Linked DNA regions of Xenopus tropicalis. The protein of the gene in region 7 purifies or fractionates together with the protein of the main gene of each other region. This does not show direct contact. Links are inferred from orthologs where the notes say so. Each region holds a gene or a part of one and is shown on either strand. Other genes may lie near its edges.

Region 1 (3,410 bases), on a different chromosome or scaffold from region 7:
CAGCGCCACTAATCTCTGAGATCCGGTTGGCTGGCACGTGCCCCCATTCTCAGTCCCTGAGCCCATGCCCCCCCACCTTCCCGCTGTTATTAGTTCAGCCCAGGTGGCACGGGGTCATTATATCTGCTGCTGTGGCACCGCCCAAATCTGCCCCAGTCATGCCAGCGCAAGCGGGCAGCAAAACATGTGCCCTGGGGGGGCAGGTCCAACTGGGAAAATCATTTATTGCAAAACCCCCTCCCTCTGTATTGAATGGGCACAAGCACCCTTCCTTGGGAACCAGTACCCCTTGGCCCACCACTGCCTACAGAACCAACCCAATGGGACAAGTTCTGGAATGCACCCCAATGCCCCATCACCTGACGGGGCAGATATTCCCTTCCCCCCCCCCCCAACACCGTGTCAGGCATTTAGGAGTCCCACACACAGGTGGGGGGTTGGAGGGTAGTTACCCGGGTATGATTGCCCCCTAGTGGCAGCAGGCAGGAGCCACACGAGGATTTAGGGATAAAATAGAAAATCTAATTTATTCTCTCACATTTCTGGCAACAAGGGAATAAAAAGTCGGTTCTTCCCGACCAATGAGCAGCCTCATCCTATTAACCATACGTGTGCCAGTCCCCTCCTCTCCGTATCCCATAATCCCCCATACCCAGGAACACACACAGCCAATGGAAACGCACAGAATGGCTGTCACAGTGCCCCCCTATTGCAGCAGGGGGTGGTGGGAGAAGGGGAACAGTCTGGTTCTACAGATCCGGTCACACAGGCCCAGAGAGACCTCTAATACCCCGGCCTGAGCGCTTTGCATTTAACCCTTTGTGCCACTGGCTGGGGCACAAGAACGAGTGGAGGGGTATAAAGTTCTGTTACCCAGGGGGCGGCACAGCAGGAAAATCTACCCCCGAGGAAGTGTCTCTTGTCCTCACGTCTGTTCTGCCCGGACGGGGGTCTCTCTGCGCAGCTTATCAGCCAAGCTCCGGTCAGCTTCACCCACGGCAGCCAGGAAAGTGCCCACCTACAAGGGAACACAGGGGCAGAATGGGCACTCTGCACTATCTGTGTATATAGCACTCACGCTCTCTAAGGGCACACTCGCTCTCTCACTGAGGGAGCACTCTCACCCCCTGAGGGGGGAAGCACACCCTCTCTCTCTCACACACCACCTGAGGGGGAGGCACACACACTCACTGAGGGAGCACTCTCACACTCACCCACTGATGGAAGGGGGGGGCACACACACTCACTGAGGGAGCACTCTCACACTCACCCACTGATGGAAGGGGGGGGCACACACACTCACTGAGGGAGCACTCTCACACTCACCCCCTGATGGAAGGGGGGGGCACACACACTCACTGAGGGAGCACTCTCACACTCACCCACTGATGGAAGGGGGGGGCACACACACTCACTGAGGGAGCACTCTCACACTCACCCACTGATGGAAGGGGGGGGGGCACACACACTCACTGAGAGAGCACTCTCACACTCACCCACTGATGGAAGGGGGGGGGGGGCACACACTCACTGAGAGAGCACTCTCACACTCACCCACTGATGGAAGGGGGGGGCACACACACTCACTGAGAGAGCACTCTCACACTCACCCACTGATGGAAGGGGGGGGGCACACACTCACTGAGAGAGCACTCTCACACTCACCCCGAGGGAAGGGGGGGGGGCACACACACTCACTGAGAGAGCACTCTCACACTCACCCCGAGGGAAGGGGGGGGGGGCACACACACTCACTGAGAGAGCACTCTCACACTCACCCCGAGGGAAGGGGGGGCACACACACTCACTGAGAGCACTCTCACACTCACCCCGAGGGAAGGGGGGGGGGCACACACTCACTGAGAGAGCACTCTCACACTCACCCCCTGAGCGAGGGCACACACTCACACTCACCCCCTGAGGGGGGGGCACACACTCACACTCACCCCCTGAGCGAGGGCACACACACTCACCCCCTGAGATTATATTACATAGGGCACAAAGGCTGGCACAGCAGTACTCACGGAGGTGCTGTAGAGGGGCAGAAGGTTCCGGAGGGCACACTGGCAGCGCCGCTCAGTAATATGCCCCAGGCTGATGCCCTGCAACACGCTGTCCTGGAGAGAAGAGACAGGGAGTTTTGCTACAGTTGGACCGAGACCCAGGCAGAACCTGGGATAAAGACCCAAATGATAGGCCCTCTGTACACCAGAGCCATAGGAACCAATGAGGAAGAAGCAGAGGCCATGTTTGTACCTTGCTGAGCTCTGATAGGATGTTGGAGAGGAACTCGCAGCTCACGTCCTTCAGGATCTGTAAATGGGAATTGTCCTGCCGAGCGTCTGGGCCCTCGCGGGCGTCACTCTCCGGGCACTTCTTCCGGCACTCCTCCAGGTTCTCCAGAACTTGGGCCAGGCTGCTGATTAGGGGCAAACCTGACAGAAATACAAGTGCAATTTAAGGACCAGGAGTGACCCTCCTGCCCCCCAGAAACACACTGTAGGGGGGGGGGGAGAACAGGAGCCCTGCGTGGTGCAAAGGGGCAAGTAAGCCTTGGTACCGTCACCCTGACACCCCAACACCCATAACCCCAGTACATAGAATGGTAACTTCCCACTAAAGCTGCTGTTAAGGTGGCCATACACGAGGCGATTTCGCTCGTTGTGCGATGAACGATTATATCGACAAACGATCGTATGGCGATCGAGTTCCCATACGATATGCCATCCACGGGCAACGATAATTCGGGAAAGATTTCGTCGCATCATTATCGTAAAATACGTACGATCGTACATCTACGTACGATCGAATGTCGTTGACTTCCACTGCTGGCAATCGTGATATGCGCAGAGAACAATCGTTGAAAGACAAATGTCTGACACTCACACCAACTGGCAGATTTTATCGTTAAACGACCAAAATTTTTAAACCTGGCCGATCGATTTTGGGGACGATAATGTCGGCTCGTTTAGTGGGCCGACGATCGTTCGTACACCACCAACTATACGATAACTTAACGATAGCATCGGATTGTTCGGGAATCGGTCGTTTGTAAGTAAAAAATCGGTCCGTGTATGGCCACCTTTAGAGAATGCTGAATACTGGGCCTAAGCTCACAGTGCCCCCTAGTGGCTATCTGATAATGTGGCGCCCAGGTTCCAGAAGCTCCAATCACTCGCCAGGAAAATACTGGGATTGGGGCAGAACCAATGCAGCTCATTGGCTCAGACATTTCTCAGAGTCGAGGGTTTACACACTGCAGCACCACCTCTCAGGGTGTCCCATAGGACTTAACTGAACAGCGCCACCATCTGCCCCGTACTGTAGGGAATAACTGTGATACTCACTCTTCTCCACTTTGTGCCCCTGCTCTGCCCGCCACACAAACATGGCCGACATAACTGCCAGCA
Region 2 (3,500 bases), on a different chromosome or scaffold from region 7:
TAGCTGTTATGGTATAGTATATCACTGGCATAAATGGGCAAAGGTGGCCCACAAAGATAATGGAAATGGTCAACTTTTTTTTTTTTTAACCCTTTCAGTCCTTTCATTACCCCATTATAAGAAATCTGCATAATTCAGCAAAAAATTTAATTATTGTCATAATCTGCAATTCTCACTATTGTCACTATTGTAAGTCTAAGCACTCCGGTATTATTTCAGCTACATTAATAAATACCTAGCATAGATTTCAGTATTGGCAATATATCTCCTCTATCTTGTGTTTAAAGGTTTCTCTCGACCTGCTTATTCTAGGATTGAATGCTTGGGGGATAACCGGTATTAAAGTTGGCCTCTGCCGCCAGTGTAGAAATCCAAATCCAAAATGAAGGCAATAATACCCATATGGTTGCAGTGGGGGTATTCCCAATTTTTATTGCGGTGCTGAAGACACACACAGCAGGATCAGATGTTTTGTGACAATAGAATGCCGTCCTGCGGGAGGGCAACCTCTCACTTTCCATCTTTTTATTACTTTTTCTTTCTGTTATTCAAATAGCACACTCATGTCAAACTCATGTCCATCTCCTCTAGAATAGCCAAAATTATTGTTAGTGACACCTAAACATAGAACAGTTCGCTAAATCATAAAACTTCTGTAATCTGCCAGATATACTCAACATCTGTTTCATTATGAATACTTTGGGTCTGTTGAAATTCTAGAATAGTGACGCCATTGTAATATTTCCTTAATTGTACACTTCTTCAGCAATAATACAAATAGGTGCATGAGGTGCTATTGAATGAAGCTGGGCATTTTTATACTTTAGTTACCTTTTTGGGGAAAAAAAAAATCTGGTTTCATGTATCTTGGCTGCATCAAGACCATTATTTTCTGTACAGGCGTTTTGGAGCCAAATACATTTTCTCCTACTGTAAAATTATTGGAGTGAAACTGTTCATCTCTAAACAGTCAATTTATCTTAAAAGGATTATTTCCGATCAGCTTCTGTGTTCCTCATCAAGGCTTTTTGAATAAATCCAAGTGATTTTTGCCATATACAAACCAGGAAATGTCTGATTGAATCTACAGCTTTCTTGTACTACTTTAATTTACATTTTGGCAGAAAACAACTGTGATCATCATTGTATGAAACTTTCTCCTTCTGGCATTGTGCTGTTTGTAATGTGAGCAGATGTCTTGGAAAAAACCTAACAGGCAGAGTTTTTCCTATTCTCTTTATAATGATGCAAATACAACAATATTTGTGGGTACTTTATTCATGGGTTAACCCTTTCCTTAAATATTTCAGTTAACTTTTAGTATGATGTAGTGAGTAATATTCTGAGACAATTTGCAGTTGGTCCTCCGTTTTATATTTTTAGTTTAATTTTTTGACTTTTTGGTTCAGCAGCTCTCCTGGACTTTTAGCAGCTGGTTGCTAGGGTTCAAATAACCTTAGTAACCAGTGAGCAGTTTAAATGAGACTGGTAAATGAATAGGAGAGGACCTGGACAGAAATAAGTTATGTAAAGTAATAATAATACATCTGTAACCTCACAGAGCAATAGTTTTTTGGCTGCTGGGGTCAGTGACCCCCATATGAAAGCTGCAAAGGTTTGGAAGAAGAAAGCAAACAATTTAAAAACTATAAAAAAAAAAAAAAAAAATACTGAAGACTAATTGAAAAGATGCTTACAATTGGCCATTGTGTAAGATACTAAAAGTTAACTTAAAGGTGGGTGAACCACCCCTTTTAATATACCTCATTTCTATAATTATATGTAACAAGTAGTAACTGTAATTAAGTATAGGGCATAATTTAACTGTGCTAAAAATAGAAAGATATTTAAAGTTATCAAGGTGTTCTATGATCTCCCATTTTGGAGCTACATACTCCGATAGGGCTAATTTATGCACCAACAATTAATTTATTGGGTTTCACAGTTCAAGTTTGTGTAAACTGCCCACCAAGCCAGCAACATTAAAGTTGCATTTTCTTATTGAATAGTTTATTGAACAAACACGCAGGGTCCAAGCCCCGCTTGCATTACACTCGTTGTGCTGGTCAACTATTTTTTGCTGGATTGTGCTGGGAGTGCCGACTCTCTGGGTGTGCACTGAGTAAGAATTGTTGGAGGAGGTAAGGGTGTGCTGGGTGAACTTTCTTTGTTGCATTTTCTTATATGCCATTTTCTCCCCCCTAGAAATTTATTACGATATAGCAAATTAGATGGACAATAAAAGCCCAATTATAGAGAATCCATTTTCCAGTGACATTAAGCTAAGGGTGAAGGAGAATTCATATAATTAGAGGGCCTCTTGTTTCATTCTGGTGACTATTATTTTAGTATTAAAACTGAAAATAAGGACTGGCTCCTGGTTTTAAGAACGGATTTTAAAATGTATAATGTGCTTCAGAACACAACCGTGGCAAAAGTTTTAAGGGCAACAGCACTCTAAATGTTAGGCACCCCCAAGTGACTTTAATCGCTTACCTTGTAACCCGGGCTGGTCCCCCTGTTAGGAGAAAACAGCAGCAGCCCGGAGTACCTGTAGCGCAGCTCTTCCTCCTTCCGCCTTCGCTTTTGGAAGGACTAAAGACAGGCGCATGCGCAGTAGAGCGGAAAGCCGACTTCTCTGTTGAAGTTCGGCCTTTTCACTCTACTGTTCATGCGCGTGCACGCGAGGAAGCGCTACAGCTACCTCGGCCTCGGTGCTGTTCTCTCCGTACAGGGGCACCAGCCCGGGGTATGAGGTAAGCGATTAAAGTCACTTTGGGGTGCCTAACATTTTGGCACCCCCAAGTGACTTTGCCTTGCCTTCTCTTTTAATTCTTTACACTGGAAAGAATTGTTCTCAACAAAATAATTTCATGCTTTGTGCATAATGGGGAAATGGGCTTTCGTCATATAGGTTTTCATCATGGCAGTTTATAATAATCTAAAGTTTGTGCACTTTAATCAAACTAACAAAGAAAGTCGCTACTTTTTATTTAGTTTAAGCGTCAACCATTAAGAGCTTACCACTTTAGAAACTAATTTTCAAATTTGTGTATGCTTTTCTTCAGCGATGAGGCTGCATGTTTTGCTATTCAAAAAGGCTTACAAGCATCACGAAGCAGTATCAAGTACTTTAAACATAATGATATGGATGACTTGGAGAGATTACTAAAGGAGCAGGAGCTGGAGGATCAGAAGGTAAATCTAAACACAAACATATTCCACAAAAATATATTTATTTAAAGCAGTTTGAGCTTTACAGCTGAAAAAGAGATTAAGGTAGGCAGATTGTCACTTATAGCAAACCAGTGGTCTGCCTGTGAGGTTTGTTTACATGATTTCTAATCTGGTTGGCTGATCACCTCTTTCTGGATATGAATGGGGTCAGGGGTCAGTTTGGAGTAAATTGAGAACACACCTCTTAAATCTGACGTAACAATTCGATTTGTTCTCCTAGACTGGTCCTATGACTTAATTGCATATGATCCCTGTTTAGGAAG
Region 3 (3,500 bases), on a different chromosome or scaffold from region 7:
CAATATTACAACCATTTTATGGCTCTATAATCAGTGACTCAACAATAACCAGATGCACTGGAGGATTTCTGTGCACATCAATGTATCATTTTGGGCCAGGATTTAATTATTTCCATGGTAATAAAATTAATTGTAACATAGAACAATATAGAAACGATTTGTGTACACGCAGCACACACCTCAATATGAAAGCACATTAACTGAAGAACAGAATTATGACACTATAAAATAGACTAATAATGTAACTTACTAGCTACAATGTATACTCTACTAAGAATACATATATTCTCATGTATTATAAGGGATAATGTACCCCCTACTGTAAATGATAAGGATATTAGCAGTCACTGAGGGGTTCTGTGACCATATAAAGGCACAAGGCTGCAGGCTGAGTTATACAGGGAACTCTGAGTATCACTCATGTATTATAAGGGATAATGTACCCCCTACTGTAAATGATAAGGATATTAGCAGTCACTGAGGGGTTCTGTGACCATATAAAGGCACAAGGCTGCAGGCTGAGTTATACAGGGAACTCTGAGTATCACTCATGTATTATAAGGGATAATGTACCCCCTACTGTAAATGATAAGGATATTAGAAGTCACTGAGGTGCTTAAACCATAAGCACAAGTATATAATATAAACATTGTACAGCATATAGCATCCCAGGCTACTTTAGTGTGAGGGTCAAAGGAGCAGATTGTGTCCCAGTTACCCCTACATGCCCCACAGACTATGAAACCATGAAGTAGCAAACTCCATGTGTTCTGAATAGCAGTATCTACACAAAATTCCAGTTGTTTAGCTCTGGTGCTATAGCGAGTGTAAAGGCAAGCAATCACACACGCAGAAACCAAATTTCACTTATAATAAAACAGTTTTTGGGGAGAATGCATGTACTTAAATATAATTTTGGTAACAGTTGATTCAGCTACACTTGTGCCTTTAGACTGTTATTATTTCATAGAACTGTGTAAACTATAAAAACAATTGGTTGTATTAAGGGCCAGGCCAATGGTTGCTCAGCATATTTAGATACAGAAAAAGAAAATGTGTGGTATAGTAAAACATTCGCCAGACTGCACATTACTCAAATTAACACAAATGGACTTACTTTTCACAAACTTTGTCGTTTTGGAGCTTTGGAGCCTTTGGAAAAGAACAATGAAGATCTGCCTCTTGTATTGCTCAATACATTCTCTGCAGGCACACAAGCACAATCAGGACATACTTTATAAACACATGTGCCAACCAATTAGATAAGTAGAAATCCAACAGAAAAATGTCAGGACTGCTTGGCAAATAATGTCATTTCTGAGCACTTTGATATCATAAAAGCAACATACTGAGTGGTGCACAGAAAAGGGAAACTTACAAGTGCTTACTGGCATATTTTTAATTTATCTGGCCTCAATGAGAACATGTAATTTCTACCCAACTCCTTTCAAAGGCATGGACTAGACAAGGGATTAAATCAATTGTGTGTTTTTAACTTACGCGGGCAAGTGCTCAATAATACTGTTTAGCAGATAAAATCCTTGATGATCGTTGGCTTTAGAGGCAATGAGTTTTTGGAAGACACCAAGGAGACCAGGCTACAAACAAAAGACAATCATTAATATCCAAATCATGTACATTAGAAGCTGTAGAGAAAAGAGCTGGAAGTCAGCTTTGTATCATTTTAGATTTCCATAACCTCAAAGCACAATTGACCACTGAAGTCTTCCTTGGGCCACTAAGAAATGGGCATGATAATACTGCTCATAGAAAAATAAAGCAAACTTACAATTTTATCGGAGGCACTTGCAGCAATGGTATTGGCACCTCTCTCTAGGTAGGCTTGCAGAAGTCTGACAAGTGGAGGGATGTTACCAGTTCTCTCCCACAGAACTGGCTGAAGGAGGTGAGGAAACAGGGCCATGTAGGATGTTGGGATATCATTTGCGTGAATTTCCAGGAGCAATGACATGACTTGAAAGACATAGGGGATGAACTCTGAAACGAAAAGCATGAGAGGGAATTACTAGAATTGACTGCTACATTATCAAGTGTCATAGGACTGCTGCATGTGTTCAGAGGTACAGCACATTCAGCATCCAAATCCTCTTGGCAGCTTCTAATAGGGATGCGAGTGGCACATAGGCAGAGGATTTCAATATGCAGTTTGAAAGGTAGAGGCTGTGTGAGAAGCATGTGTAGAGTCACCATTGGTACTTACATTTTTTCTGTGCCATGGGACACAATATCCATCTGGCTCTAGCCGTACTTAAGAACTAGACCTATTACTTCTAACCAACAGTACCGAGCCACAGACAAAGGCACACACCTCTATATCATACTGTAATACTGTACCTTGAACATCGCTCTGCAGGATCTCTGTGAAGACCAGGAAGAGGGCATCCTCAAAGCTCCCAACAGCAGCAGGGTTTGCTCTGCAGGTGATCCGTATAGATAAACAGATGGCCTCAAACAAGTAGTGATTGAAATGAGGTTTGCTTGGATTCTAAAAGAGTAAAGAATACAACCTCAGTTTTATTTGCAACAGTCAGTTTTCTATCTGAACTCTAGCAAGCAGACCTTGCTTTAACCCTATACATGCTGCCACAAACCATAGGATCTACCATGCTGGCATAAAACGAACATTGATCCAATGGCAATTCGGTGGTTCTAAGTTCCCCTCTGATCTATGAAATCACTAATTGGAGACCAACAATGATTCTTATATAGGCTATGCCAGTCAGAAATGTAGAATGCAGATGGTGACGCTAGGCATTATATTTCTTGCATGTTTATACAGGCCCTCTCCAGCAGTAGGACAAAAACGTTAAAGGAAAAAGAAAGGTAAAGTCACTTGGGGATGCCAAAATGTTAGGCACCCCCAAGTGACTTTAACCTCCTACCTTTTCCCCCGGGCTGGTGCCGCTGTCAGGAGAAAACAGCACCAGCCCGGGGTAGCTGCCGGCGCTTCCTCCTTCCGGCTTCGCTGCGCGCGCATGCGCAGTAGAGTGAAAAGCCGAACTTAAACATTTAAGTCGGCTTTTTCGCTCTACTGTGCATGCCCGGCCACCGGCAGTTTAGGAAGTGGAAGGCGGAAGGAGGAAGCACTGCGCTCCAGGTGCCCCGGGCTGGTGCTATTTTCTTTTAACAGGGGCACCAGCCCGGGGTACAAGGTAAGCGGTTAAAGTCACTTGGGGGTGCTTAACATTTTGGCACCCCCAAGTGACTTTGCCTTTCCTTCCCCTTTAAGTAATTAGAAAACCACAAATATTGCTGACAGAAAAAAAAAATAATCTGAATAACACTGACCACATCACACAAAAAAAGGCCCGCTAATTTGTGCAAACACTGAAAAAGTATTAAAACACCACACCTTGCTCACTGCAAGCAACTTCTGTGTTAGTTGGCTGATCACAGAGGGTATATAAGGGATGATGGCTTCCTGCAGCAATGAAAAGCTTCTCATGATTGCTATAAAAATAAAGGATAGTATACATTAA
Region 4 (4,141 bases), on a different chromosome or scaffold from region 7:
CCAGCCACCAAAAAACTAGCTTGAGCAGTTCCTAATATTTTGCCACCCGCCCACTGAGTTAGAAATCAAATGAGTCGCAAAAGGCCACATTTTCAATGATAATCAGCCAGTGAGCTGGACCCAGGCAATTAGCATTCAAATCAAAGCAGTTTCCTGCAGAGATGAAGTCACATGGGTGAGCTGGCACATAGAACCTTTTCTGCTGCCATTATCTGGGAGAAAACATAGAAATCTGCAAGCTTTTACACGGTAAAGTTTTACATTCTAATTTTTGGGGTGTTTGCACTTAATAAATACCAGACATTCGAGTTTTTGAAACAACTCAAATTTGAGGTTTTTTTTTTTTTTTTTTTTTAAAGTGCCAAAATACCTAAATCGAAAGGAAAACAAACTCGACTGTTGATAAATCCCACCTTAGACCTTGTGTGAAAAAAAAAATGCGAAATGCTGTCACCACTCCATTGGGGTCATTTAGTTAATGAAGTGCAATTGCAGTCAGTTGCACAAAAATTACCCTTCTTTGAAGTTACTTACATCAACATGCAGTCCTTGCACTTCTGTACAGTTGCGCTCTGCACTTCTGCCTGTTTTGAATTGCACATAGTTGTGCCTACTGATGCAGGGAGAACCCTAGCACTACTGCCATCTCTGAACCAGGCAGTAGCTTCAGGGTACTCAAAGTTGCCTACTAAAATAGGTGCAGTGCAGAGGCACCAAAAGAACCACGCTAAATCCCAGATATAACATCTGACAGATCAAAAAATAAAATTGAAGATATAGATGGGGCACCAACACTTAAATAAAAAAATGCAAAAATAAATTGTGCATGAGGGTGTGCATGATCAAAAACATAAATGCAATTTAGGAAGAGAGAATATCAATTTTCTTTCTTTCTTCCTTAATTGCAAAAAATAAAATTTCAGTGTTTACGATTTGCATCAAACGAAGTCATTTTTGACACACAACCCATAATCCTGTCAACTCTCCCTGGCAACCACAACAAAGCAATGGAATTCTGTGGGGGGGGGGGGGGGGGGAGCTTCCCAGTGGGTAGAAAACATGGTGATTGCATTTGGAAGTGCACTCTGTATCTGTGGTATCTTAAAGGAACAGTAACATCAAAAAATTATTATGTTTTAAAGTAATCAAAATATAATGTGCTGTTGCTCTGCAAAAAAAAATTGTGTTTTTGCTACAGAAAAGCTACTTTATAAATAAGCTGCTGTGTAGCCATGGGGGCAGCCATTCAAGCTGGAAAAAAGGCACAGGTTACATAGCAGATAACTAGTTGATAAGCCCCATATAATGAGGGTTTATCTGTTATCTGCTAAGTAACCTGTGCCTTTTCTCCTTTGAATGGCTGCCCCCATGGCTACACAGCAGCTTACTTATATAAATTATAGTAGTCTTTCTGAGGCAAACACACCAGTTGTACCAATGCAGGGCAACAGTACATTATATTGTAATTACTTTTATACACTTTCATTTTTTGGTGTTACTGTTCCTTTAATGACCCCTTGTCTGTGTCTGCCAAGCTGCTTTACATTAAAGTAACAGTAACATCAAAAAATGAAAGGCTACTCTAGTTTATATAAACAAAGCTGCTGTGTAGCCATGGGGGCAGCCATTCAAAGAAGAAAAGGCACAGGTTACATAGCAGATAACCGATAAGCTCTGTAAAATATAATGGAGCATTATTTGTTATCTGCTAAGTACCCTGTGCCTTTTTCCCCCCAATCTGAATGGCTGCCCCCATGGCTACACAGCAGCTTATTTATATAAACTATAGTAGGAAATCTGTAGCAAACATGCCAGTTTTACCAGTGCAAGGCAACAGTACATTTTAATTACTTTAAAAGGCTAACATTTTTTGGCATTACTGTTCCTTTAAGTAAATGTGTAAATTGTATAATGAATATGTGGAATAGGTAACAGTCTCTCTGCAACATGTAGGAAGTTGAATTGCATTGATCATCATAAATAATCATAAGTTAAATAATCATAATCATAAATAAAAGAAAAAAATAAACCAACAAAATATGACACCAGCACTACTGTTAAACTACAGAAATCCTGGTAATACACTTTGGGACAACGTGCATAGAAATAGTTAATTCTCACAAAGTGGTCAGACTTCTGAAGGATGCCATGGGTTTTGTACCGCTAAAACCTATGCATTATGATGTATTTCATGTGTGGATACACTTATGCAATTCTCTTAGCAACACAATTAGAGGTGGGTCACTTTTCAGGCATTCATTGCCTAGAAACACTAAAACCCGGTATTGATCCAAAACTGAGCCCCAGGGAGCCTTCAATCAGGAGAAAAGAGCAATGAAACACTGACCCCAGTCAAATGACCAACACTGCCAAGTCACGTGACAAGAGAATAGCCAACATCAGGCACCTAGCTCAGTACCTCCTCGCCGACCAAAGACGAACCCACATAACCTCGGACCGACAAATGTGATATCATAACCCAAAGGAATTTAAAAAAATCATAGCCAGGCGTACTATTCATTAGGGAAAAACGTTAGAGTTCAATTCTAACCTGCAAAAAATATAGTCAATAACCGCTTACATCCAAAACTCGCTCATATAAAAGCAACGACTACGTTTGAGACAGAAAACACGGCACGTGTTCCATTTAGCTGGGATAAAAAAAACAACAAAATCAACAATAAATAAATGTATTAATGCCTTCATACCCACGATAATGCACTGTATATTCAAGGTGGCTAGCGGTCTTCTCCGTCTAACAGCTTCTAGAAGGATCGAGGGAACAAGAGTCACATCCGGGAATCTTATGTAAAAGGAAAGAGAAGGGGGTGGTGAGACCACGATGACGCCTAGAGTCCGGAACCGGCAAATACTCAGGCTCCAATCCAACTGCGCGTTAGTGAGGGCGGGAACGTGCTGCCAATCGTGCCTGATGCGGTTCACTGCAGCACGCCTTGCGTTCCAACCGCTACGTGGCACTGAAATCAGTTGAATTGATTGACGACCACGTGAATTCTAAGAATTGGTATGGTTAAACACCACGAAAAACGCCTAATGATTTTTTTTACACTCACATACGTGGTGTTTTATCAGCCTTTTAAAATACGTGTCTGTCATATTAATGGCCGACAGAGATTTGCGTCCACTTGTATTCCGTAGGTCATAGTATATGCAGGCTCCGCCTTGTAGTGTATAGCTGTTGATGTTTCGTGTGTACCCACGCTAGGTAAGATTGTACATACATATATTTATACAAATTTGCGTCTTTGGAATTGTCTTAAGGGACAGCTTCCCTACCGAATAGCTGCAAGGCTTCACAGAAACGTGATAACTTTACAACATATAGCCATGCCGTTTAAAGAGCGAAGTTGTCATCTCATCAGAAGGGATGCTGCTTCTTTGTGACTGCAATAGACAATTCCAAGTTGCCCAGGGTCCAATATTGTAATCAGAAAACATGGGTCAAAGGCAATTTTTCATTACAAACAAGTACATTTATTACATGCCGAATACCCATGCTTTAAGCTTATCATATGAGCAGGACTACAAGGAGAAAACCAAGTGGAAATTGGTGGGCATAATTTACGGTTAATAGGGCTTGCAGGACATGAGTACAAGCAGCCAGCCTTGTATGTTGGTTGTCAACAATGGTTCTGTGGTTCTTGCTCCCTTTAAAAAGTTTATTGTAAGGTGCATTCATACATGGTTATCATAGCATTTCATCAGCCTTTCTATTCCCTTTATCAGCTTGTTCCCTCTTCTTTGAACTCTATCAATAAGGCTCTAGAGACCAAAACTGCTGCATATTTAAAGGAACAGTAACACCAAAAAATGAAAGTGTATAAAAGTAACTAAAATATAATGTGCTGCTGCCCTGCACTGGTAAAAGTTGTGTGTTTACTTCAGAAAGTCTACTATAATTTATATAAATAAGCTGCTATGCAGCTATGGAGGCAGCCATTCAAAGGAGAAAAGGCACAGGCACATAGCAGATAACAGATAAAACACTATTGTACTCTACAGAACTTATCTGTTATCTGCTATGTAACCTGTGCTTTTTCTCCCAGCTTGAATGGCTGCCCCCGTGGCTACACAGCAGCTTATTATATAAATTATAGTAGTGTTACTGTAGCAAACACAC
Region 5 (2,718 bases), on a different chromosome or scaffold from region 7:
GGGCACAAAAACACCCAAAATAGGCAGGCAGCAAGCTCCCTATCACCATTCATCCAAATTCACCTCATAACATGTCTGAATGATGTAGTTGAATGTATGATGTTAGGGGGCAATTAGGAGGCTGAATAGAGGTCACCAGTGTGCCACCCCTCCTGAATACAGTGCTGCCAAACTCATGAGCATTGTATTCATCAGCAAGACTCAGGTCCTTGCACTCCATTCTGAAGTGCAAAGATCTGTGCCTGTGGGTGCTCAGCGAGCAGTAGGGTGCTAAGTGAGAAAAATATCATGACACTACCAAACCAGGGACAAATGAATGTAGGCTCTTTCTGTGCTGCACTGATTGCAAACCAATTGCCTAAAAATAAAAACAATCAGTGTAGCCCCTTTAGTTGAAATATCTAGAGGTGTCCCAGGTATTTCACATGATTGGGTAACCTTAGCATATAGTCAGTCCTGGAGAGTTTAGAAAACACTAGCAAGAGACAAGAGCAAGCACAGACAATAAATGAAACAAAGATTTATTACTTCATGTTTATAGTAAGTACAGAGAGATCTGCTAAGGATATATTGCATAAGATAACATAAAGCTTTAGTAGCTTTTGTGAAAGAAAATTTTCTAACTAGGAACTATATAGTCCTCCCCACAGCTTGTCAGTGACAGTGCATTATGGGTCGAAGAACATTTCCTGTATGACATGTTATATATGTGGCCTAGTGGCTTCTATTGACTGTGGAGGCCGCAGAGCTGTTAATGAAGCGAAAAAGACTTGAGCTCTATTCCATCCATACAGAGGAATGTAATGGTATCCAAGGGCATTCGGATGGGGAAGGTGAATTCTTGGCCATCGGATAACTTCACCTTTAAATGATCTGCTTGATACTCAAAACAAATCTGTCAAAATAGAGATAATGATTGCTGTAAGTCACACAAATAAAGACAAATATGCTGACTTAATTCAGAAAGACAGTGCCGGATAACTTGTCTGACTATAAATCCATCATCAAATCTTGTCATACTCTTCCTCATGCTGTTAAACCTTTTAACAAGGAGCACTGGGATGTTCTCAATGCTCAGTCCCTGTGCTACTCTGGCCCTTACACAGCTATTCCAGTGGCTCTCCCTGATTCTAACTACTTGCTTATGCTTCACACGCTCATGCTGCTATATTACCAGATCTTAGAGCAGTGTTTTTTTGCGTTTTTGGATTTATTTCCTCGTTTAAGGTCTAACATTTGGATGGACCCCCTTAGCTAACAAGGTTGCATATATATGAAAAATTATGATGGATACAAATATCTAAAACATAAAAGAAATGTTCATCCCAAAACTCACTGTAAAGGGAGCCCAGGCTGAGGTTTCAGGAGTATCTAGAACAGGGATCCCCAACCTTTTTAACCCGTGAGCCACATTCAAATGTAAAAAGAGTTGGGGAGCACCACAAGCATAAAAAAGGTACCTGGAGGTGCCAAATAAGGGCTATGCATTGTAAATGTCCTCTTGTATTCCCCACATAGTGGAAATAAAGTATGCTCATCCTAATTCTACACTAGAAATACACTCAACCTGGCTCCCCTCATCCCTCTATTATAAAAAGACACTATTAATAGGGGTGCCCTCTGGAAGAGATAGCTATATATCATTTGCATTTAGGAAAGAATCATTCACCTCGTCCAAAATAGTCAGGACACGGGATCACTCTCACATTTTGTATATGCTCAGAATAACCTGATTCTATTCACCATAAATGTGGCCTCAATCCATTCACTTAATCCACCAGTCACATGATCAGTTCATATAACAAATGTGTTTTATACAGGTTTCTGAACCACCTGGGTGCATCACATCCCAAAGAGTGTCCAGCAAATAGCATATTTCATTCTGGACTTTTATTTTGAACTCCAACAGCCTTGATTGGAGGCCAATCCTACCATTTTACAGAAATATTCATTAATCATGTGACCATCATATGCTCATGCTTACCGATGTCTCTGCTCCTTGTTGGAATGGGAAAGCAGTCTCCCTCTGCTCTTTCCCCCAGCAGTTTTCTTCCTTTGAGTTGCAGATGATTTTCTTGTTGTCGCCTTGGTGGTCAAATCGAGGATTAAAGTGAAGGACATAGTTTGAACTATCTTTTCCCAGGTTTATTGCAAAGCTTGAAAAAGTAAACAAAATACATGTCAGAAAGTATTGTACAACCAACGGTATTGAGTACAATAATTAGTGTTAAACAGTACAGTAATTAGGTGCCTTTACAAGGCCCAGCAGGAGCTCATGTAATCTAGACCATGTCCTGTTATTTGCTCTAGGAGACAGGCCATTGTTAAAACAGAATCTTGTTAAAACTTATTAGTATCCCCTACTATCAGCACTATGTATATATATATAGGGCTAGGCATACGTGCATTGTGTAGCCAGTGCATGGGCATCAGGTCCCCCATTTTGGCACAAGATTTTGGCATGATGAAAAGCTTATCTTCATAACAAAATGTCCAAAATGGCACCTGCCTACTTGCTGTGATTGTGAATTCCAGGATTGAAGGAAACAAGATTTAAATAATTTATATGGTGTGAATAAAGTTGATTTTTCTTGACAAACACAATAGAAAACAATTTGGAATTATTTATTAGGGTGACAGGTCCCCTTTAAATGTTTATCTTATTTATGCATTAGAAACGGCTAACTGCACATTCCTCTCTGCAGATATGCAGACAAA
Region 6 (3,500 bases), on a different chromosome or scaffold from region 7:
TCTTTAGTGGATATAAAAAAGCACATTAAAAAGGATCTACATTTGCACTGCAGTGTCCTTACCTTTTATGCAGTAGTAGAGTTTCTCTAATGAATCAGCTGAACCTGAAGTGGAACTGAATTAATGTGAAATGTTTTTTTCTGTAGGAGGTCAGTTTTCAGGTTGATCCCTATGACGTGAATCCAGTTGCTCCCCCTTCTGCTCCTGTCCAAGATCCCGGATTGGATTTCTTTCAGAGTGATCCTTTTGTTGGCAGTAAGTCATAGAAAATGTCTGATTGAGAAGGTGTTCAGAATACCACAGGTTTACTTCTTATACAGAAAAATAAACAAGAGTTGAATGCCATAATGGCTCTTCACAAGACTACAGACTGACTGTAGGACATTTCTTGCCAAGAAATACTTTATTTGTAGGTGCCTGATGAATAGATACAGGCTTGAAAAAGTGGTCATTTTAAGAATTGCCTGCAACTTCCTTAAGGCTGACAAACCAGGAAGGGAATCCTCATACTTAAAGGAATGGTAACAAGTGTTTTAAAGTAATTAAAATGTAATGTGGTGTTGCCCTGAATTGGTGTGTTTGCTTCAGAAACACTGCTATAGTTTATATAAACAAGATGCTGCATAGCAGTGGAAGCAATTGAAGTACGGCTAAATGACAGAGGTTAAATAGCAGATAACGGATAAGCTCTGTAGAACATCATTATATTCTTTAGAGCTTATCTGCTATATATGCATTTTATCCCATGAATGGCTGCCCCCATGGCTTCAAAACAGCTTATTTGTATAAACTATCATAGTGTTTCTGAAGCAACACTACATTGCATTTTAATTGCTTTTTATTTGGAAAACAATTATGTATGCTATGTTAAAAAAAACATAGTTCTTAATGTCTGTCCCTTTTAAAGCAGGTTTGAAAAGCATGTGGACCTTACATATGGTTTTATTTGCATATGATTTCATTTATATTCCAGGCGATCCTTTTAAAGATGATCCATTTGGGAAAATAGGTAAATTTTCTTTTTAATTTTTTTTTTTTTTAATGTAAATGTCTGCTTTGGCATGTATGAACTGAAATCCTGTGTTATTGTGGTCTTATATATGGAGGCACATGCACTGTTTCCTTCACTAGTGTAAAAAGCTGATCCTCTGCCTTCCACTACATACATGTGTGTGCGACATGGGATCAGCCCATAATCAATGTGTACACAGAGAGCAGATTTTGATGCGTACTGTACTGAAATCTGCTCTGTGTGCACTGATGGGCTGAACCCTTGCCTAACAGCGCACACATTCAGTTAGCATAACTATTGATTGTTGTTCTTATATTTACAGAGATATATCAATCCACTAGTTATATATAGATAAACCCCATATGTTGTTTTACATGAGGGGTTGTTTACTGATTCCCGGGGTGCAAATGCTTAACAAGCACTCAAGCCTCAGGGAATGCTGCACTCTGGATTAAAAATCTAGAGCTGAGAGTGCACCAAGCAGAGTGTGTTAGGGTAAGGCACCATGGAGTGTTGGTTCTGCTGGTCTGAGCCTTGAGTTTTGTCTCAGCTTGAGAAAAGCGAAGGTGCTCCTGTTGGCCTAAAAACACCTGCTTAAGGGGCCTTATCCATAGGGGGCACAGGCAACAAGGCCCACTGCTGCTCCTTAACTTGCACGTCTGAATGTCGCACCAGTTGGGGGCTGGGTGAGGACACATACATGCCCATCCCCCCTTCAACAATACCATGCTGACTAATGCAGTCATGTAGTCAGTATTTATGGGGAAAGAAGCAGGTCTCTGCATTCCTACTTTGTACACTATGTTCTGTTTTGTTTTAAATTACTCCTATATTATTTTAAATCTGGGCACATAAACCTATTGTCCAAAAGCCTGTACGTTATGAAAGTCTCTGAATATGACACGGTGCATATGAAATAATTTTCTTGAGGGTCGTAGCACAAGTCACCTAAAATACCTTTTCACTAGCCAACATTTTGATGGTAACCCTGACTGTATCCCTTAAAAGCTTAAAAGGAAGTATAAACATTTAGTAGTGTTAGAATGTTTGTGAAGTCTAAGGAGATATCTCTGCCTAGACTAGCAATATATGGCAACACTTATCCATGTATATAAACTTTAATAAATAAAAAAAAAAAAAAAGCTTCTGTTTGAATTGCCACATGTAAAACAAGACTTTTTTTTAAAAAAAAATCTTTTTTTCTCTGTTCCTGACAGATCCATTTGGTGGGGATCCTTTTAAAGATTCCGATCCGTTCGCCTCTGATGTATTTTTCAAACAGGCTTCTGCAGATCCTTTTGCATCTTCTAAAGTGGATTCTTCTAAAGAAGATCTTTTCTCCAAGTCCAAAGCGGATTCTTTCACATCGTCGAATGCAGATCCATTTGTGTCCTCCAAAGCAGAGTCTTTAACATCTTCAAAAGCTGATCCTTTCCAGCCCTCCAGCGCTGATCCTTTCAAGTCCTCTGAACAAGATCCTTTCACATCTGCCAAAGTTGATCCTTTCTTAGCCACAGAAAGCACTTTTTCTTCTGTACGTATCTGTATACTGTGTGTCCCGCACATGTGATATAAAATGGAAGACCTGCTTATGGCCCTCTAGATGATGTTAAGCTTAGACTGTTGTTGAATAATTACTCAGAGCATTTTTGGAATATGAATCATAGCTGTTATTGTATAAATATTCAGTTGAATATTAGTGGGGCGGATTAGCTTTTATTACTTTATCATTGATAAAGTGGAAGCACTGTACCATATGTAAGGTTGTACTCTTTCTGCAGCAACATGTTTTCTTCTCAGTGTTAGTTTTAACACTCTAGCTACTTTAGAAATACCAGCTGATGTGAGCACATATTTTATTGCAAACAGATAATGCAAACTGGCATAATGATAACCCTAAAAGCATAAAAACTGAACTGTGCACTGAACTTTACTCAACCTCTCACTAATGGGAAGGCAAATTCAAATCCACATTAATCCATTTTTATCTAGGAGAAGCATCATGGAAACACTGGAATCTATGTAGCACGGCTGAGTCATATGCATTAGATTTGTTTATAGAGCCAAACCTTCCCACCCCAATGTGTCATGATTAAAACATACGCTTTTTTTATTTTTTTAAACAATAATGTTCTGTTTTTATTTACAATTAATAAGCATATTTTATCTTTTCTCAAGGAAGACACTTTAAAAAATAATGATCCATTTGCTCCAGGTGGAACTGTAGTCTCAGCTGTTAGTGAGTCAGGTGAGTCAGCCTTTCTTTTTCTTTACCTTTAGAGAATGCTGGGAATTGAATTATGGACACATGATGGACACAGTGCAGCATCTCTGCTATGTCTGCATGAGCAAATTGTATTTGTCTTTTGTCCTGCAAAATGTATATAATTTTATTTTCCTTTGTACTGTCCATAGCATTATTTACATCATATTTTTGGCATGAGTGAGATAGTTAAACTATCTGTCATGATTTTTATGGTGTACTCTT
Region 7 (3,989 bases):
CAGCAACTTGATTCAAACATGGAAACTGAACTCCAGCCTTGTACATTTACTATGGTTTCAGTAAAGAGGTCAGCTTGCTTGATGACTGTTGCCTTCCCCTGCTAGACAAGGTAGGTTTTCAGATTAGACAGAATTCCATAGAGATCAGGAAGTGTTGGTCCAATTGTTTTTCCCTGCTGTAAAACTCGTAAGTGATATTACACAATCAAAAGTTTAATTACATTAGAACCATTAGAAGAAATGAACAACCATGATACTAAATCATCACCTATGCTCTGTCCAGGCATGAAGATTTAAAAGTGTATGATCAAGTTATTGCAGGGAGCTTGGTTTTAGTTTTATCTTATAAAATGATTAAATGTGGCACAGTTCTTCGGGCTCACAAATACCCACAGTCATACAGTGTTCAAAGGCATAGCAATTCTTCCATGAAGTTCTGAAAGTTCTACCCAACTCTCTATGCGTAGTAGAGAACTCTCCTATTGTGCCAGCCAGCACTTCTGTATATCAGCCATCCTGATGTTATCTAACATATGAAGATTGATATGCAGTTTTGGGCTGCCAATATTGCACTGTAATTAAACAGATGGACTGACGTAATGTTTTTTTTTGTTAGGCAGTAGAAGGAAGCTGTTTAATCCATCTTTGGCCAAACACATAAAGCAAAAACAGGGAGTCAGGTGCACAGATACCAGGCAGAGGTCTTACTGAAGGAATGTCATAAATATATCATACACACAAGTACAAAAAATCCTTTGGCTCCAGGTAAATATCAGTGTGATATCAGCAGCAATGACATTTGTACCAATTTATATAAGACAAAATATTATGTAAAGCGGCTGAAATAAGTATAAAATATGCAAAACACAAACATTAAATAAAGGTTTCATTGAGATTTGACATGTATTTATTTATTTATACATTCCATAGTGGAATGTTTGTGGCACCAACAGAATTTGCAACCACTGTGGCAGAAGGAAATAAAAATTATGGTGGGGGGACAAGTTTAGTCTAAAGCTGGCCATACACTCACTGATAATATCGTACGAAACCCCGTTTACATTGTCACATTTATTCAGTCGAACTGCACACCTGGAACAGACTGAATTCTATTGCCCCAAGTCAAGACTTCAGCATGCCCACATGACAGAACTGTTAAAGTATTGTTATTTTTACAGTACAAAGTGCAATGTACTAGAACAAATACAAATCTGTGCTTGTATAGCAAGCTCCTGATAAATTCTTTTCTAAAAAGGGTGGGGAGCCAGCATCTTAGCCTTAGTAGTTATTTAGCGGATCCTATTAACTACACACATGACAGTATATGTTAACCATCTGTGGTCTGAAAGAGCGTGGTAAAACAAATTGCTCAGAAGTCAGAGAAGAATTTCACCCACCTACTTATTTATAAAAAAAAAATGGGTTTTGTTCTTAATGTTATATAAGCTACAACACATAACTGAAAACAGAGGCAAGATCAATTTCATTAAAAAAAACAAAAAAAAAATCATTGTTGGACAGTAGCATAGGCTCCCATGAAATGTCACAGATATTTTATATTAAGTCCAGATGCTGGCGTTTTATAACTATACATACATTCACTCACCAGTAAGCCTGCCTCTCTATATATACTGTAGATATATACATATTTAAACACTTGTTTATCTGCTGCATCAATCAATCCATCAAATGCAAATAAAACTGTTGTAAGTTATGTAAATAACTGTTTGTAGTTTTTTTAAGTTCCTTGCTCTTGCCTTATGCCCTGTGTGTGGGTTTTGAAGCTGAAGATGAGTTCCAATGAGGGCAAAGTAACTTAAGTCAGAAAAATTATTCACTATGCAAGCTTTTTATCCTTTGAACATATTTAATATAGGGTTTGCAAACCAGCTAAACTATTTAGCAACCCATATAACAGTACAAAAATACTGTGCAGTTTATTGTTTGCATTAGTGCACAGTATAGGTTATAAAGCTTCTTAATTAAACAAAAAAAAATTTGCACAAAAAATATGCCACCTTGCAGCAGGTCTTACAAATGTGTTATGTGTAATTAAAAGTCACAATGCAATATTTGTCTAATGCATAATATTGCAATAATAGTCAAATAATGCATTGCTGAGCACACATTTTTGTTCTTATTTATGCAATTATACCATAGGATGATTTTTATTACATCCACCCACTAAGTATCTCTTTTATAGAGGTGTTTCTGTAACCATTCTACAAGGACATAGTCACAAGTTTATACACAGGGTGACTACAAATGTACACAGCTCACACTCCAGGACAGTCTCTGCCATCACAAAAGCATGTCTTTTCAAAACACAAGACCAATTTCTCAGGATAATTTTGTAATATTGCTGTCACAGCCCACTGAAGGAAAGGGATTTACTTTCTTGTGTATTTCCTGTATCCTTATAGTTCCCATAGGAGGCACAGGGAGTCCCCTTGTCCCATATTCAGACCAGAGGAGGATTACCTGTATCCAGCCAGGTAGGCTCACCCTATACTCCTGGCTACACTCTGTAGGTCACAGGAAATCAATAAGTGGATGTAGAGAGAGGCAATTCACTAGCCAAACCAACACTGCCACTATCAGAAACGCAGAAAGTCTGATAACCCTTTGTGTGCCAGGGCTGGCTTCCCTACAGGCACAGAAGCAATGAAGTGGCAAGTGAATTTCTTTCCTTACCTTTCTTTTCTTCCAGAGAAAAGCAGGACTGACTGACGAAGAAGACGCAGATATATAATCCCACACTCCGGCTAAAAGACCCCATCCCGAGTCTTCAGCTACCCCCAAGAACAGAAATGAGGATGGATCCTTCCTGCAGTCCTGTGCTTTATCTGCTGCCTCTGACACCGGTCTTGTTTCAGTGACCCAAATCCACAGAACGCCTCACATCCATTGTGAACACGATATATACCCACGGGGGAGCGGAGGGAATAGAAGGAAGCTGAGAGCGTTGGACTCCGAGCTTATTGTGGGGCTCTCTCACATGAGACAGTCCAGTGTCTTCTCTTATCTGGTGTATGGAGAAACAGCAGGGAGTAAACGAAGTGCCAGTGACAGGAACTGCTTATCCCTATTTCCACACTCACTTCCCAGGAGTTGCAAAACTTTTGACAGAACGAGCCGGTCTGTGTGAGTCCCTCACGAAAAGAATCTGGCATGTTTGGCTGCTGTGACATCACGGAGAGGTGTGCCTCATTCCACTCCCCCTCCCACAGCCTTCCTCACACTCCAGGACGAGCCGAGCTACGGGCATTATTATCGCTCACTCCTGGCAGAGCTTCATAGGAGCAAGGGAAGCAGCGCCACCTATTGGTCACAACAAACACAATAGGAGACAATTCGCGCAATAATGCAGTTCACTAGCAAATCAGCAGAATCGTTTATATTTATGAGCAAAATATAATTTTGTAAATGCTGGAGTGCTTCAAAAAGTAAAATGGAAGCTGAAAACTACTGCTTGACAAATACATTTTGTCAACAAATACGTTTTAACAAAGCTAAAGTTTGTCTTTCTGCGATGGGCTGTAAAGCACCACGTCTTCCGCTGTCACATGAAACGCCAGATTAGAGTGTTCCAGGGAATCAAAAATGACACCTGTGACTGTTTGGATCAATGCGGTGCATATTAGGTGTCTAGATAAGAAGTTACCATTTAACTTCAAAATTATGGAACGTGTCAATAAAATCCAGGGCTGCAGTGATTGCAATTAAATGTAACATGTATAGGTGTCCCTGAAATTTCATGTGATCTGGTAACCCTGTGTTAAACAACTGAGCCCCCAGCCCTCCTCCAGCCACCCAGTAAAAGCTGGTAAGAGGCAGATGCCTTTTATGAAGGGCATAGAAAAAATCAAAGGGTCCTTCACTGAGCAGCCAGGATGGACCAAGGGATAATGTGGAGTTGAACCTCAGCTGACAGAAGGGCTGCTGTGAGATGCTATAGAGCAGGGATCCCCCGACCTTTTTAAAAAAGT

Evidence for each region.
Region 1: the proteins of egfr (region 7) and saal1 purify together in Homo sapiens (affinity purification with mass spectrometry; 4 studies listed by BioGRID and IntAct, with this or other methods). This does not show direct contact. The link is inferred for Xenopus tropicalis from reciprocal best matches to the Homo sapiens genes EGFR and SAAL1.
Region 2: the proteins of egfr (region 7) and sptlc1 purify together in Homo sapiens (affinity purification with mass spectrometry, with the first as the bait; 3 studies listed by BioGRID). This does not show direct contact. The link is inferred for Xenopus tropicalis from reciprocal best matches to the Homo sapiens genes EGFR and SPTLC1.
Region 3: the proteins of egfr (region 7) and cse1l purify together in Homo sapiens (affinity purification with mass spectrometry; 4 studies listed by BioGRID and IntAct, with this or other methods). This does not show direct contact. The link is inferred for Xenopus tropicalis from reciprocal best matches to the Homo sapiens genes EGFR and CSE1L.
Region 4: the proteins of egfr (region 7) and dnaja1 purify together in Homo sapiens (affinity purification with mass spectrometry; 3 studies listed by BioGRID and IntAct, with this or other methods). This does not show direct contact. The link is inferred for Xenopus tropicalis from reciprocal best matches to the Homo sapiens genes EGFR and DNAJA1.
Region 5: the proteins of egfr (region 7) and lgals1.1 purify together in Homo sapiens (affinity purification with mass spectrometry; 3 studies listed by BioGRID and IntAct, with this or other methods). This does not show direct contact. The link is inferred for Xenopus tropicalis from reciprocal best matches to the Homo sapiens genes EGFR and LGALS1.
Region 6: the proteins of egfr (region 7) and eps15 purify together in Homo sapiens (affinity purification with western blotting; 6 studies listed by BioGRID and IntAct, with this or other methods). This does not show direct contact. The link is inferred for Xenopus tropicalis from reciprocal best matches to the Homo sapiens genes EGFR and EPS15.

Annotation. Positions count from the first base shown.
Region 1 is NC_030680.2:1,078,385-1,081,794, forward strand, and holds the end of saal1 (protein saal1), read right to left. Parts: coding exon 3,348-3,410; intron 2,436-3,347; coding exon 2,257-2,435; intron 2,118-2,256; coding exon 2,025-2,117; intron 1,019-2,024; coding exon 926-1,018; 3' UTR 501-925; downstream 1-500. UniProt on the Homo sapiens protein: Plays a role in promoting the proliferation of synovial fibroblasts in response to pro-inflammatory stimuli.
Region 2 is NC_030677.2:139,054,854-139,058,353, reverse strand, and holds part of sptlc1 (serine palmitoyltransferase 1), read left to right. Parts: intron 1-3,068; coding exon 3,069-3,198; intron 3,199-3,500. UniProt on the Homo sapiens protein: Component of the serine palmitoyltransferase multisubunit enzyme (SPT) that catalyzes the initial and rate-limiting step in sphingolipid biosynthesis by condensing L-serine and activated acyl-CoA (most commonly palmitoyl-CoA) to form long-chain bases.
Region 3 is NC_030686.2:38,128,593-38,132,092, reverse strand, and holds part of cse1l (exportin-2), read right to left. Parts: intron 3,472-3,500; coding exon 3,374-3,471; intron 2,507-3,373; coding exon 2,356-2,506; intron 1,999-2,355; coding exon 1,790-1,998; intron 1,599-1,789; coding exon 1,501-1,598; intron 1,204-1,500; coding exon 1,118-1,203; intron 1-1,117. UniProt on the Homo sapiens protein: Export receptor for importin-alpha. Mediates importin-alpha re-export from the nucleus to the cytoplasm after import substrates (cargos) have been released into the nucleoplasm.
Region 4 is NC_030677.2:94,451,940-94,456,080, forward strand, and holds the start of dnaja1 (dnaJ homolog subfamily A member 1), read right to left. Parts: upstream 2,801-4,141; 5' UTR 2,709-2,800; intron 1-2,708.
Region 5 is NC_030680.2:122,667,265-122,669,982, forward strand, and holds the end of lgals1.1 (galectin-1), read right to left. Parts: intron 2,157-2,718; coding exon 1,985-2,156; intron 896-1,984; coding exon 752-895; 3' UTR 501-751; downstream 1-500. UniProt on the Homo sapiens protein: Lectin that binds beta-galactoside and a wide array of complex carbohydrates. Plays a role in regulating apoptosis, cell proliferation and cell differentiation. Inhibits CD45 protein phosphatase activity and therefore the dephosphorylation of Lyn kinase.
Region 6 is NC_030680.2:96,281,152-96,284,651, reverse strand, and holds part of eps15 (epidermal growth factor receptor substrate 15), read left to right. Parts: intron 1-146; coding exon 147-255; intron 256-973; coding exon 974-1,009; intron 1,010-2,229; coding exon 2,230-2,546; intron 2,547-3,190; coding exon 3,191-3,260; intron 3,261-3,500. UniProt on the Homo sapiens protein: Involved in cell growth regulation. May be involved in the regulation of mitogenic signals and control of cell proliferation. Involved in the internalization of ligand-inducible receptors of the receptor tyrosine kinase (RTK) type, in particular EGFR.
Region 7 is NC_030682.2:56,743,987-56,747,975, reverse strand, and holds the start of egfr (epidermal growth factor receptor), read right to left. Parts: upstream 2,801-3,989; 5' UTR 2,780-2,800; coding exon 2,695-2,779; intron 1-2,694. UniProt on the Homo sapiens protein: Receptor tyrosine kinase binding ligands of the EGF family and activating several signaling cascades to convert extracellular cues into appropriate cellular responses.